2 linked regions of the Drosophila melanogaster genome follow. The protein of the gene in region 2 interacts with the protein of the main gene of each other region in a pairwise test. Each region holds a gene or a part of one and is shown on either strand. Other genes may lie near its edges.

Region 1 (7,102 bases), about 20 Mb from region 2:
TCATTGTAATAGATCGTTTAACGGCATTACGACGTTCATTTCTATATACGGCCAGCTCGTCTTTCTTAAGTGCTTGGACAACATAACGATGTTTCACTGTGGCTGCAAACTTTACGGTCTCGTTCAGTTTACCGCCACCTTCTGCCTTAATAACCGAGCCCGTGACTGGTTCGTTGTTTAAAGACTGGTACCCGTCGGTTTCGCCAATTTGTTGAATCGGCTCAGCCTGCTGTTGAAGTTTAATGATATTCGTCTCACTCTCCATATCCGATTCTATTGCTTCGGTTTGGACATCACAAAGTCTCCGAAAGGCCAACTTTACTTTCTCCACATCGCCCAAGGCGAAGTAGCAGAGTAAGAGGTGAATGCTACTTCTAATGTTTGCCCGCTCCGTCATGATGAACTCAAAGCTAGAAGCAGCATCTGAATAAGAGCCCATGCGAATAAAAAGGATTCCAATGTTTTCACGGATCTTTAGCCTTAACTGACTTAAGCTCTTTGGTACAGAATCAAGGGCCATGCGGTACATTTTAACCGCCTTTTGGTAAATACCCATGCTGTAGTAGATGTTACCCATATTTAGTTTTAGCTGATTGACGTGTGGAAACATCTTGTTTTTGGCCATAATGCTGTAGGTATTGAGGGCTTCGATGTGCATCTCACTCCGTTCGTATTGCTCCGCGAGATTAAAAAAAACCTATAGTCCATATATATTAAAGTTTTAAATTATCCTTCTAGTCGTGCTTACCGCATATGTCAAATCGAAGTTGTGATAAACATTTTCACCGTGCTGGTCTCGAAATTGGTGTAATGTTCTATCCAATGAGAATGCTTCTTTGGCTTTACTCAATGCCTCGGCCAATTTTGTATCCAGGTTCAATAATTTATTGGGTGAGCCTTGCCAGGCCAAAACTATAGATGACTCCAAGAGCTTCACAATTTTTTCCTCTAGATTTTTATACTTCATTTGTGGGCTATAATTTGAATTATGTAAAACGTAATATAAGTTGGTTAGTATTCAGACTTTGGTTAACTCGCTACATAATAATCGACTAAAAGGATCAGATCATTGCTAGTTCCTGATAAGCTTGGAAATGCTTAAGACTTTTCCTTGTTGTTTTGTAAAATTTACAGAGAGAAGAATGAAAAAAGACAGAATTAAAATAACATTTTTAAATTCCACTATGTTTAAAAATTATGTTATGTTAAAAAATTCATAATTATTTACACACAGCTTTTTTAATTCATTTTTGCCTTTTTTATTGAATTTAAACGAAATATTTTATATGGAATATGAGCAATGGAAGTACCGCCTGATTTATGTCTTTCAAGAACTTGGTTGGTACTCGGCCCTTGTGGCATGGAGCATTGCCCTGCTGCAAGATCCAGTCATTCTTGGAGAACAGTCTATTTCCTGAGGTCAATGCGTGCTCATTTAAGATATGGAGGTATCCTGTTTGATTTACTGTACCCTCTATCGGTACCATGTCTCCAAACCCATAGTAGCTTAAACAGCCCCAGAACATCACCGTGACACCACCAAACCGATTGATTGGCTGAACGGCATTACCCTTTAGTTGTATTGGGAAATGCATAAATTGCTTGCTAAAGGATCCCTGAAACTGAAACGCAACTTCATCAGTCCATAAAATATCAAACCAGAATTCGAGAGGCTTCTCTTTTTACTCCAAGGCAAATGCCAGACGATTTTCCTTGTTTCTTGGGGTAATATTAAATACTGCACGAATAACATAGGAGTTGATGTCAACTTCCTTCATTCTGCGACGCAGTGTACTATCGCTAATATGTTCTCTAACTAAATTTTTCGATGCTGCGGCAATTTTAACGGGACTTATGGTGGGATTATATAGTACAACTCCTATAATGTGTCTGCAGTCTCTTGGGTTCAATGCAACTTTTCGGTTAGTTCTCTTTTTATTTTCCAAAATTCCCAATCCAATGTCCTTTTTTTTTACCTAATTGTACACAGTTTTACGTGATATTTTGTATAACTCAGCTAATTTGGATGCAGAAGTACCAGCCTTAATTTTAGTGACAATCTCGGCTCGATGCTCAACTGATAGCTCCTTTGTTTTTGCCATTTTACAAATTTAATGCTTAGTTTTATCTATTAACATAACTGTTAACAGTTAGTTTAAGTTCCAATTAAGCGATCAACATCAACTAGAACTTTACTAGACTAATCTTCAATTTGCACTGTGCAAATAATTTTGAAGCTTAAAAATTGTGTGTAAATACTTCTGACAACAGACAAGTTTAATGCTTCTATTTTTAGCCCATGAACAGTTATTTTTTCCACTTCTTGACAATTGACAACAGAAAAAAAGCACGTTGTGTAAATACTTTTGACCACCTCTGTATGCTTGTAAGTTTATAAGGTGCAAGTGAATAAATACATGAATATAGATTCAGTATACCTTTAACTTCAGTACCTTTCTATTTATTTTTTTTTTACGATTTTTGATAACCCCTTTGATGCAACCGTCCTCTAAAAATAATTTTCTTACTTACTTTACATCCTTTATGGCATCCACAGCGGCTCTTGACGAGAGCGTTTGTTGCTTCGCCTTCTCCAGGAAAAATTGTTCGAACCTTTGATGAGCAGACTCGCAATTAGCAGCGTAGCCCACAGCCCGGACTGCTGTTGATGGTCTTGCAAGACCTGATTTATCGCCTCCTGTTGCCCGACTGCTGGCCAGATTGCCGCGCTGAATTACAGAAATTACACAGCGTTTTAAATTTTTTTTTTTTCAAAACTCACTGAAAAAAGCTGTGAAGTGGGGGGTCTGGGTCTGCCCGCCGCCGTGGGTGGGGGAGGCGGAACCGCTTCATGTTCGGAAACAGGCTCCGGTAATCTTTGCGTTCCGTTAGCAGTTATTTGAGAAGTCATTTTTGTCTCACCGCACTACACGCGTATAATAAGGTTCTCAATCAATATGAACGGTTTTGGGGGTTGGTCTTTGTTTTGGTTGAGTTGCCTTGGTGATCACGTATAAGCAGCACATGCGTAAAAGAGGTGAATAAATACCAATTAAATGTATAATGTAAGAAGGTTGCGGTATTTATTAAACCAAATCATTTTGGTTTATTTTATCATTTTATACTAAGACATTTCTATAAAAGTTTGAATAAGTTTAGTTAATTGTTATCTGATTTAATATAAAACATAAAACCCAATTTCAATTGTTAAAATATTATTATCAGTCGGAAACGCTTCCTTCTGTCTGTTACATACTTTTCAACGAATCTAGTATACCCTTTTACTCTACGAGAAACGGGTATGGACCATACCGTATGGTTTACCTCCACCTTCTGCGCTTATAACCGAGCTCGTGTCTTGTTCGTTGTCTGGTGCACGTCGATTTCGCCACATTGTTGAATCGGCTCAGCCTGCTGTTGAAGTTTAATGATATTCGTCTCACTCTCCATATCCGATTCTATTGCTTCGGTTTGGACATCACAAAGTCTCCGAAAGGCTAACTTTACTTTCTCCACATCGCCCAAGGCGAAGTAGCAGAGTAAGAGGTGAATGCTACTTCTAATGTTTGCCCGCTCCGTCATGATGAACTCAAAGCTAGAAGCAGCATCTGAATAAGAGCCCATGCGAATAAAAAGGATTCCAATGTTTTCACGGATCTTTAGCCTTAACTGACTTAAGCTCTTTGGTACAGAATCAAGGGCCATGCGGTACATTTTAACCGCCTTTTGGTAAATACCCATGCTGTAGTAGATGTTACCCATATTTAGTTTTAGCTGATTGACGTGTGGAAACATCTTGTTTTTGGCCATAATGCTGTAGGTATTGAGGGCTTCGATGTGCATCTCACTCCGTTCGTATTGCTCCGCGAGATTAAAAAAAACCTATAGTCCATATATATTAAAGTTTTAAATTATCCTTCTAGTCGTGCTTACCGCATATGTCAAATCGAAGTTGTGATAAACATTTTCACCGTGCTGGTCTCGAAATTGGTGTAATGTTCTATCCAATGAGAATGCTTCTTTGGCTTTACTCAATGCCTCGGCCAATTTTGTATCCAGGTTCAATAATTTATTGGGTGAGCGTTGCCAGGCCAAAACTATAGATGACTCCAAGAGCTTCACAATTTTTTCCTCTAGATTTTTATACATTATTTGTGGTCTATAGTTTGTATTATGTAAAACGTAATATAAGTTGGCTAGTATTCAGACTTTGGTTAACTCGCTACATAATAATCGACTAAAAGGCAGGAGTAGATCATTGCTTGTTCCTGATAAGCTTGGAAATGCTTAAGACTTTATATACATACATATATGCTCGAATATAGCATTCTCCCTTGTTTTTTTTTTTGTAGAGTTTACAGAGAGAAGAATGAAAAAAGACAGAATAAAAAGACAGTTTTAAAGCCCACTTTATGTTTAAAATTTTTCCAATAAAATAAATATAAATTTCTTTAGTACACTCAGGGGTATCATTCGGGATTTGACCCAAACATTAAGAGCAAGACACCTACACATTGCTGACGTATCACAATCACAACTACATCAAATATTGTTAATTTCAATTTTCAAAATTTCAATATTTGGAAGCAAACTAGCGCTGCGGGTTTGTCTCTAGAAAATTCATGCTTAATCCTGAGATCTCCACGCTCATACGGACAGACAGACAGACGGACATTACTCGGCTATTGATCCTGATCAAGAATACAGATACATGTACATTATAATGTCGGAAACGCTTCATTCTTCCTGTTACATACTTTTCAACGAATCTAGTAGTTACTCTACGATAAACGGGTATAAAAACTCCTATTTATTGAAGTACAAGAGAAAACGCTTCCGGCCTGTAGACAGTAAATAAAGAATAAAATTATTTAATTTTTTTTTATAGACTTTATTAACCCCTTTGTCACCTTGGTCGTTATTAATTCAGCCCTTTCAGGAGCGCCGGCTAACAAAAGTTAGCTGTAACAAAACAATAAAACAAATATAACAATTAACAATATATCAATTCGAGATCATCATCATGTCCTGGCTCTCGTCAAGGGGAACCGTATGATGAGGTCCTTCGGCTGTCTCCTGTGGAGCCTTCTTGGTGGGCGAGCTTTGGACAGTGCCTGTCGTGGTACCGGCTGGAGTGTATGTTTATTGCCTCGAAGACAGTGGCTAGCTTGAGGTCTTTGCGCAGGGTTGTGTTCCTTACGTACCATTCGCAGCCGGTAATCATCCTGGCGATTTCGTTTTGGGCAGCCTGAATGCGACGAATTTGACTGTCGCAAGCCATAATTGGCGCCATAACGCTAACATGTGCGCTAACACTCACTTGCTTCGATAAGGTTAGTTTCCGATCCAAGATTACACCAAGATATTTGGCTGAATTGGACTGGGGGCAGGGGTGCCATCGATGAGCACAGCCGGTGGTGTTCCCCTTTTCAGTGTTTAGCATACATTCGCTGATTTGTCACCATTGATGCCAATGTTCCAACGTCCGCAAATGTTGATGCGCAGTCCTGAATGTCGTCAGAAGCATCGTGTTTGCAGCAGGACCTTTAGGTGCCACACATGTCGTCAGCAAATGTGGCCAACATTGACGTCCCGGGTAGGCTAACGTCTGCCCGTGGCATGTCGTAGCTTTACAGGTAGTAAAGCAGCGGACCAAGTACACTTCCTTGTGGTACTCCGGCTGACAGATACGAGTGCAATCGTACCGCAAATCTTCTCTTTTTAAGATACGACCTCAGGAGGCCGAAGTATGGTGCACGGAGCGTATTCTTAATTTTGAGCAGGAGACCGGAGTGCCACACCTGATCGAACGCTTCACGTACATCCAGGAAGAGTGCAATGCAGTACTCCACTCCTTGTTTTCGAAAGCCGATAGGATTTACTCGGTGTAGTTGTTCTACCGTACAGTGTCCAGCACGTAAACCAAACTGATGATCGGGCTGGATACCCTTCGCTTCCATAATCCTGTCCAACCGGGCAGCAATCAGTCTCTCAAACACCTTCGAGATCGAAAAGAGGAGACTGATTGGCCGGTAGGACCCAGGATTCTTTTCAGGCTTTCCAGGTTTATGAATCATGGAGATAATACCGAGCTTCCACGGTGGAGAGAAGTATTGCAGCCTCACCATAGCGTTGAATAACAATGTATTATTTAAATTAAATAATCCGTTTTTCGGTAAATCTCATTCGACTTTCTTTACAGTTTTGGGCAGCATTGACGGGGCAGTGGTTGGAGCGGTCCCAACAGACGTGCGCTTCCGGGAGTCGCAACGGTGTTCTTGGAAGAGCTCTGGTTTGAGGACGAAGGAGCAATAAAGCAATAAAGCTTACTAATTTGATACCCTATCTTCTCTTTGGTCAGGCAATAAAACAAATAAAACACAAACAAATTTGGTGGGAAAAAAACTCGGAGCTAGCCGTTGCAATTCGTAGCGAGGGGAACGCAAGAAAACGCAAGTTTACAAAAAATCAACTCAATCTTTTATGAAAGCAACAGAAAGATGTCCGCTGCGTAATTACAAGGGCACTGTGCGAAGGAATGCTTTAAACCGAGAAAGAAACGCAACCCCTGGTACGCTTGCGGGACTTTCCTACACTATGTTCGACCAAAGACACTAGAATACTATTCTAAAATATATTTATTTCAGATCTCCCACAAAGTATTCCAAATTAGGATCGTATAAGTTTATAAGTACCTATTCTTAAGAAACTTACCACATACCTCCAAAACTATTTTAAATACTCAAGCTTGGACACGATCAGTCGTGTTATGGCTGCTTCAGGTGCGGCGTATGTAGCGTCAAAACCAGCAGCTTATCTTTGGAATGAGGTGAGGAAACACGCCTATCCGATGTGTGCGACAGAGACGGCACACAAATGCTATGCGTGCTGCCGAAACGCCACATAAAACTATGTACATATGTGTGCGCCGACAAGAAGGGAGAACGGAGATCTGCGAAGGAGTTGGGAAAGACACCAACTTGGGGTGACCCGCAATCTGCACCTGTTAAGCAGCAGAACGGAGAAAGCTCAGCTTTTCCGTGCACGTGGCGGGCTCTACAGTTGCACGCAGATGTGTATTTTTACTGCGATGAAGTCGGGA
Region 2 (7,102 bases):
AAAAATGTAAATTTTTAATGCTATTTCAGCGTAATTTGGCAGTTCGTTAGGCTTGCTAAGGAGGCACTCACACACACTCACACACACGCGCAGCCTCGTAAATATGAATAACAACAAAGAGGCACGGAGAAAGCAGGCGGAGAAAGCCGGAAAACCAAGTGCGATACTTGCGGTTATGGTATGTGTGTTTGCCACATGACACATCGTTATGCTTTGTTAATGGACTTCGGGCCCGTTCTAAATAAGGTGAAATTGTGGGGCGGGGGGGGGGAAATGCGTGGAAAGTCTGTCTCGGCATCAAATTATACTTAATTATTCAGATCGTGTTAATTTGCATACATTTAAAAGGATGCTGCGGGAAATTGTCGTCGATTACACTTGACTGCAAAATAGTATCGTAAAGAATTCAATTGATTTGTGCATTTGTAGCGAGAGCACATAATTTAATAAAGACTGCAATTCCACAAGCAAATGTTAATTTATGAAACCTGGCATGTATTAAGCACCAACCCTTTCGCCCAATTTAATTTTCGACTTTGTTGGGCTTAAAGCTTTCGTCCTGCGTCCTTCCTATCGCTCCCAAACCAAAAGTACTCACCTGAGCAAATACGCCGAGCATTCGGGAATGTCTGGCTGCCACACCCACCGCACCAGCCGTCACCCTTTCCACACGCAGCTAGCAGATCCTAAAATGTAACTTTAAACTGCCCGAGGAGAGGCAACAACATCAAACACTTTGCTCCCGGCTTCAGCTCGAAAACTGCATGCGTGTGTTTACTCTGCGTTAATGAAGTTGTGTGACGGCCGGGAGGAGTGGGGCAAGCCGGGTGGAAAACGGGCGGGAAATGGTTGGAAAATGGGTGGAAACTGGGGGTGGCCGTGTCTACGCATGCAGACAGCTTAGCGTCATCAGCGCCCTCGTTGGCAGAGGTAAATGGCAACTGTAACGTTAATACCGCTGCACATGAAGCGCAAACGAAATGAAATTGCAGGCAGGCAGACAGAGATGAAGCTCTATACGGCCACAGCTCTCTTTCGCACTCGGGCGCATCAGACATCAATGTCAGCGCGTGTCTTCTATGCAATTAGTGCTTTTGTTGATTACGCTGCAAATGTGTGTTGGGGATTTTCGCTCGTTTTTGCAGCCGCCGCTTAAAGGGTAGCCAGGGTAGCTTAGTTCCGATGGTGCCCGGGTAAGGCAATAGCTTAAAATTTCAAATATATACTTTTCCCTAATATACGTATGTAGTGGGTATTTACTATTTGCAACGTGGCATTTCTGGTTTTGGGAATGCTTAATGAAAGGGAATTTGAAAGTGATGAGTAAAGAATCCTTACGAAATTTTAATGAGGATTCATAAGGCTTGTGACTTAGGATACAAACTGTGGTAATGACTCAAAAAATATATATCTTTAGACCCGTTTTCAAATAGCTTGTGTTCTAGCCAATAGCCTGACCTATTTCAGCCAAGCACCCTCGTCACAATGATCTATGCGGCCAATCAGAAACACAGCTGAAAGAAGTACCAACATTTTAACAAATTGTTTGAAGAGCAAGCATATTTATAAATATTAAAAAATAAGAGAAAATCAAAGCGGTAGCTGGGGATGAATCCAGTTAAGGACGGCACAAAAAATGGGAAAACATTAAACAGATTTAAGCAAATTTGTTCTGCTGCGGATGCCATCAATAACTTTGGCAGCATATTTGACTTCCTACCCGGTTTTTGGTCCGCCGAGGGGTTGGTTGCCAAAAAGGGTTACCCATCGAAAGAATATGCTTTTCGATTTAGCTGCGAACTCCAGCTGACTTCTGCTAATGTTTGTCCTCCTCCAACTCCGGTTTCATGCAAATGTGCCCCACTTCGGTGTTGTTTTTCCGACGAGTCGCCCCCGCTTGGCCATCAAATTGCCCGAAAAAGTATGCAACACTTGACAGTTCCTGGCAGCGACGTGGCCTGTGCTAATTTCGTGTTTCCTTGGCCCCAACTTCAAATCGATAAGCAACAGAGTGGAGCTCACCTACTTTGCCACCTTGCCTCTTTGCTTGCTGCCTTTGTTTCGCAAAGTATATATTTTCGCATGAAAAGCACGAAGTAGATGTCAAAAAAACATTTTCAATCCCCAACGAATTTTCGTTTTCGCCTGGCGGAAGTTTGTTGGCAACGCCATCGGTCGGCCACTCGAAAGTATTACCACAATGGGCGTAGGTGTCTGGTCGTGGCAACGTTCCCCAATTGCGGCATGAGCAATTTTCAAAGTTGTCAATGAAAAGACAAAGAGGTACCGAGTGATTAATAGATTTCCCTTCAATATTATGGAGCAGCATATGTATATTTCATATAGCACAGTAGTGAACAACAAAGACGTCTGACGTCAGTCATCGATTCGAAGCGAAGCTGCCATCTATTCGTCTTTGGCATAACTAAATAAATTGATAAGGATTATTACATAGTTTTAAGAAAACAAGTTCCAAATTACTACCGTTTGGTCCAGAGGCGCGCTTTCTTGTCATGTTCTGCTCTATTCTTCAGATATTCCGTGCCAATTTTGGCCATCAGCGGATCCTTGGGATTGCAGTCGGTGAGTAGGGAGCAAATTGATAGCAGAATCTTCGAGATGGTCAGTGCCGGTGACCATTTCTCCTTCAGGATATCCAGACAAATGAAGCCCAGGCGGTGGATGTTGCAGTGATATATGGGCGTGCGAAATATAACTACCGGTGGAGCAAAAGGATACTCAACCGGAAAGAATATGTCCAGCTTGAATATTCCGTTCTCGTAGACGGAGTCCGCGGGTCCGATGATCGTCGAGGTCCACTCGTACAGGTTGTCCTCCTTCGGACCAGCACTGCAGTATTGCGGCGGATCCCTCGTAATCTCGTCCAGCTCCTTCTGGATTCTCTTAACCGCGCTGTTGCTGCATGTCCAGCTGCACGAAGGTGTGCCATCCTCGGCAGAAAATAGCCCTTCCATATTTTAATTGGCTTAAGTTCTTAAAAATAAAACCCTTTTCTTTATCGTGCCGTATTATTGTATATGTGGATAACTCGACCGATTTATTTGACAACTGTGCTAAATTGACATGTTACTCCTTGAACATTTGATGAGTGTTTCTGTTGTCTAAAAAGTATGAAAATTTTCTGTACCAATGTACCCGTGGTACTTTCAAGTACCCTGTAATAAAATCAGAAGCTTTTTTGCACTTCCTGAATATTGAACCAGGTTGACTAGAGGCAAAATATTTGCTGTATCCTACTCCACTTGTCTCTTTCAGCCACTGAAACGACCAAGGATTGACATATTTCAAGTGTCGAAAATCGAATATGACGAAACCACATTTCGTATTCACGAGCTCGCAATCTTCAAGACTCAACTTGTTAGGGAATCTAGTTTGTAGTTTTTTATTCAATCAGTGTTAAAAAAGTGGAACGCTTTAAAAAATAGTATGAGAAACGACACAGCTCTTTACAGCTCTTAAGAAGTGTCAACTTTATGGAAATAATTAGTGTTTTAATTTTGCATAAAATGAATGATTCAAATATTTTACAAAAGGGGTATTACCCCGAATACACAAGCTATTATAAAGGTTTTAACTATGTTAACTATTCATCCGCCGCAACTAAAATTACAACCAAGTTGCATTTGTGGCCAACTTGGTTTTAAAGTTTCTTGCGATTTAAAATGTAAATAGCCATCAATTAGCTGTAAAACGGGCGGCATATGCAGGCTGAAAATTGTACACACATTGCATCACAGAAGGACGCGCCACCATTTTGCCGTCTGTCACCTGGCATCAATGCCCCAGATGCCGCAGGCGCTGTTTCCCCTCCCCGCTTTCCTGTTCCGCGCTTTTCCTGCACTCCGCTCTTCCTCCACCCGTCCCCGTAAATAAAAACCAACAATGCAGCCGGCCAAGTGGGACACCCCAGCGGTGGGCGGTGGGCGTGGACTCTGCTCCATTGTGCCTTTGTTGGCCACTTTTTTTCGCCCCCACTGTTCATGAGTGCGTGTACACGGGGCATTGTTGGAAGTGATGCCCGACTCCGACTTGTTGCCACATCATCGTCATCATCATCATCATCATCATCATCATTATGGCCATCGCAGTCCAGCAGTCGGCCTGTAATGAGCTTGCCATTTTATTTTATTTATTTGTCCGCGCTTTGTTTCAGACGACAAACAGCGACAGCCGTGGAGAATTCCTTGCTGCATTTTAAATTCAAATTAAATAATGATTTAAGTGCCCCAAGAGGCTTTGTCAGCACACAAGTGCAGCGGGTGGTGGAGCTCTCTGATCCCCCGATGGGGTGAGTCAGGTGCAGAAACCTCCTCAGGTGTGCCGTAGCCAGATAAGTCCCTTTTCACAGGCATTGTTTCAATACAACCCGTGCTTAAGAGCTGGCAAATGATGTCCTTTTTAATCATTTCAACTCAGACAGAACATTTAACTGAAATTATTTACTGGATCGTACAGTTTTAAGCGCACTTCGTAGTCATCATTTAAAGGAGTTCCTTTTATTAAGCAATTTTTTTTTTAATTTCACAAACTACTTGCATAATTTGTAGTCTAAATAAATTTCAGTACCTTTTAAATAGCTCACCCCCTTCGTTTTTGGCTCGACCCAGTTTTTAGTCCTTGAGCTCCAATGGGGTTTATTCGGTTGCAAAATACGCAACTGTCAGGACTCGGGGCAAGGACCTCTGGGGCATGCAAACTGCTATAGAAATACCACTCAATCGGGGAAATACAAATTTAGAAAGGGATAGACAGAGGGAGAGATAGAGAGAGAGGGAGATGTACGACAGAGGGAGACAGCCAGATGGAAAGTTGGACAGTCGGTGGCAAAAGGCAGAAATCAAATTACAATTTCAATATGCGATGCGTACTAAATGTCTGCTGGTGTCAGTTTTGGCTTTCAATGTGCAACATGCAACTTTCAACTTGATGCTTGCGATTGTGTGTGGGTAAGCGTGCTAGAGTGTGTGTGTCTGTTTCTGGCTGCTACATTTTGATTTGGCGCCACACAAAATGGATTTCTTGCCTGTCCATTCAAAACATTTCTATGTGGGGCCAAAAGCATAGAGATGCGAGTCACAAGTTTTTTTTTAATTTATAAAAATTAAATTAACAATTAGAAATTAATATATATTTATACTATGTTGTAGATGATGTAAATAGCCTGCTTAACAGTATGAGTATTTCTGATTTATTACCATTATTACTAAACCTATATTAATTCACTAAGCGAAAGAATAAGCAAGCTATTAAACTCCAGACTGAAACGTCGTAATTTACGGCCTAATGCCGACTGATTTGGCCATCTCTAAGCTCAGATACAGTTTACGTTTGCATTTCGTGTGCGTTTCCCTGTCACTTAATGGAATTTATCACATTTTAACTGTGTGACAGGAGCCAGGCTGCCGGTTGCAGGGCTCGGACATTTGGCAGAAGCAATCCCCCGCGTCCTGGACAGCCCGCATCCTGCACATCCTGGTCCTGCTCATCTGCATCAGTCATTGGCATGCATGGGAAATGGTGGCCAAAGTGTCACAGTTATTGATTCGGGCCATAAATAATGCATGGCCAACAAGTGTGCCGGCTTGTTTATTTATTACATGATTTATTCACGCAAACAACGCTCCAATTAAAAGCGTTTTTAAGCGATTAAGTGTAATGTCAAATCCGGTAAACTGGCCAGAAAACTTTGCCCCAACTTAACGACTCCAGACAGCGATTATTAAATTAAAACGTGCACGGAAAACTTTCCAATCCCGACGAACGATGGAAAACTTTCAACTCTCTCGCATTTTCTTTCCCTATAATTTAATTTCAGTTCCTTTTTTTCGCCTTCCCAACTGCAACGCATAATTTATTATGCGGAGCAAAATCTTGTGCACCAAATTTGTCACATGGGATAAATAATAAGAAGGAAAGTTTTTTCGCAAAAAATTCACGATGATGAGGAGCCGCAAGAGGAGGCCATGGGATTCGGGCTAGATTACTCATACGCCCGTTGGCAACTTGGAGGAAGAACAGTTTCCCATATAATAGTGAGATCGGGCGAGCGTGAAATTAGAGCTAAGCTCGGAAAGATGAGGCTTGGGAATGGGCGATTTATCATAGGTTTATCATCAGCGATGACGGTGGATTTTCCAGAAATAAGTGTGTCAACAAGAGTGTGTATGTATAAGTATATAACATTTTTTATAGAAAATAACAAAACTATTAAAGAGTAAAGTTCACAGGTGACTTAAGATTTATGCTGTTACTTGATTAATAAGATATCACGAAGTTAGTTGCTTTTGTTTACGTTTATTTATATGACAACGATTCACTACCATTTCCAACTAAATCCAATTATTCGGCTGATGTTGTGGTCTTTTTTGCCTTTTTATATGCCGTTTTAATGGAGTAACAAGCAAATCGGAGCTAGATCTCTGAGCTTTTTATCGGCGAGACAATTGTCTTGGAACCGCCACTAAATATGTCAGAATAAAGGCAAATTTATACACAAACTGATAAACAGAAATACCAACAAAAGGAAAGCCGGAAAGGAAAAAGGAAATTCATTGAAGGAAAGAAAAAAGCGAAGGAGGGCACGAGTTTTTGGCTGGAGGGGTGCAAAGGCAAAGCTGCAACAATTCCTATCTTGACACTGTCATCTATCCGACTGAAACTGGGGAAATTGGCCCGACACCGGGTTTTTCCACCGCCCGCTCGCCCCGTGGAAAACCGTCTTCATCTTCGCTTCCATCTTGGGCCGTTTGTTGTTGCCTTGGCACGCCTATCACTCGAATTGAATCAAATTACCTTGTAATCTTAACCTTAAGGTTATTTGCCATTGCCTACAAAAAGCGCTTTGTGCTCGACTGCGTTTAGTTACTATTTGAGTGGAAACTGGATGAGGAGAGGTGGAAAATGCGGGACTCCCCACCCTCGGGGTTTCCTTTTTCCAGCCCGCCATGAAAGTTGCACCTTTCACACTTGCCCGAGTTTATATAAATGGAAATCTAACATTACGTCCTATCATGATTGCAAAGTTGAAGTGAGTTTGTGTCGAGTGCAAAGCTGCTCGAGATTACTGGTTTCTTGTTGTTTC

What was found. The genes of interacting proteins can lie anywhere in the genome.
Region 1: the proteins of CG5440 (region 2) and nompB interact in a two-hybrid assay, tested with the Drosophila melanogaster proteins (one large-scale study listed by BioGRID).

What each region holds. Positions count from the first base shown.
Region 1 is NT_033779.5:21,586,445-21,593,546, forward strand, and holds the start of nompB (no mechanoreceptor potential B), read right to left. Parts: upstream 2,980-7,102; 5' UTR 2,912-2,979; coding exon 2,783-2,911; intron 2,730-2,782; coding exon 2,533-2,729; intron 975-2,532; coding exon 749-974; intron 698-748; coding exon of another isoform or gene 677-697; coding exon 1-676.
Region 2 is NT_033779.5:1,330,142-1,337,243, reverse strand, and holds CG5440 (uncharacterized protein), read right to left. Parts: upstream 3,117-7,102; 5' UTR 2,976-3,116; coding exon 2,485-2,975; intron 2,426-2,484; coding exon 2,407-2,425; 3' UTR 1,730-2,406; downstream 1-1,729.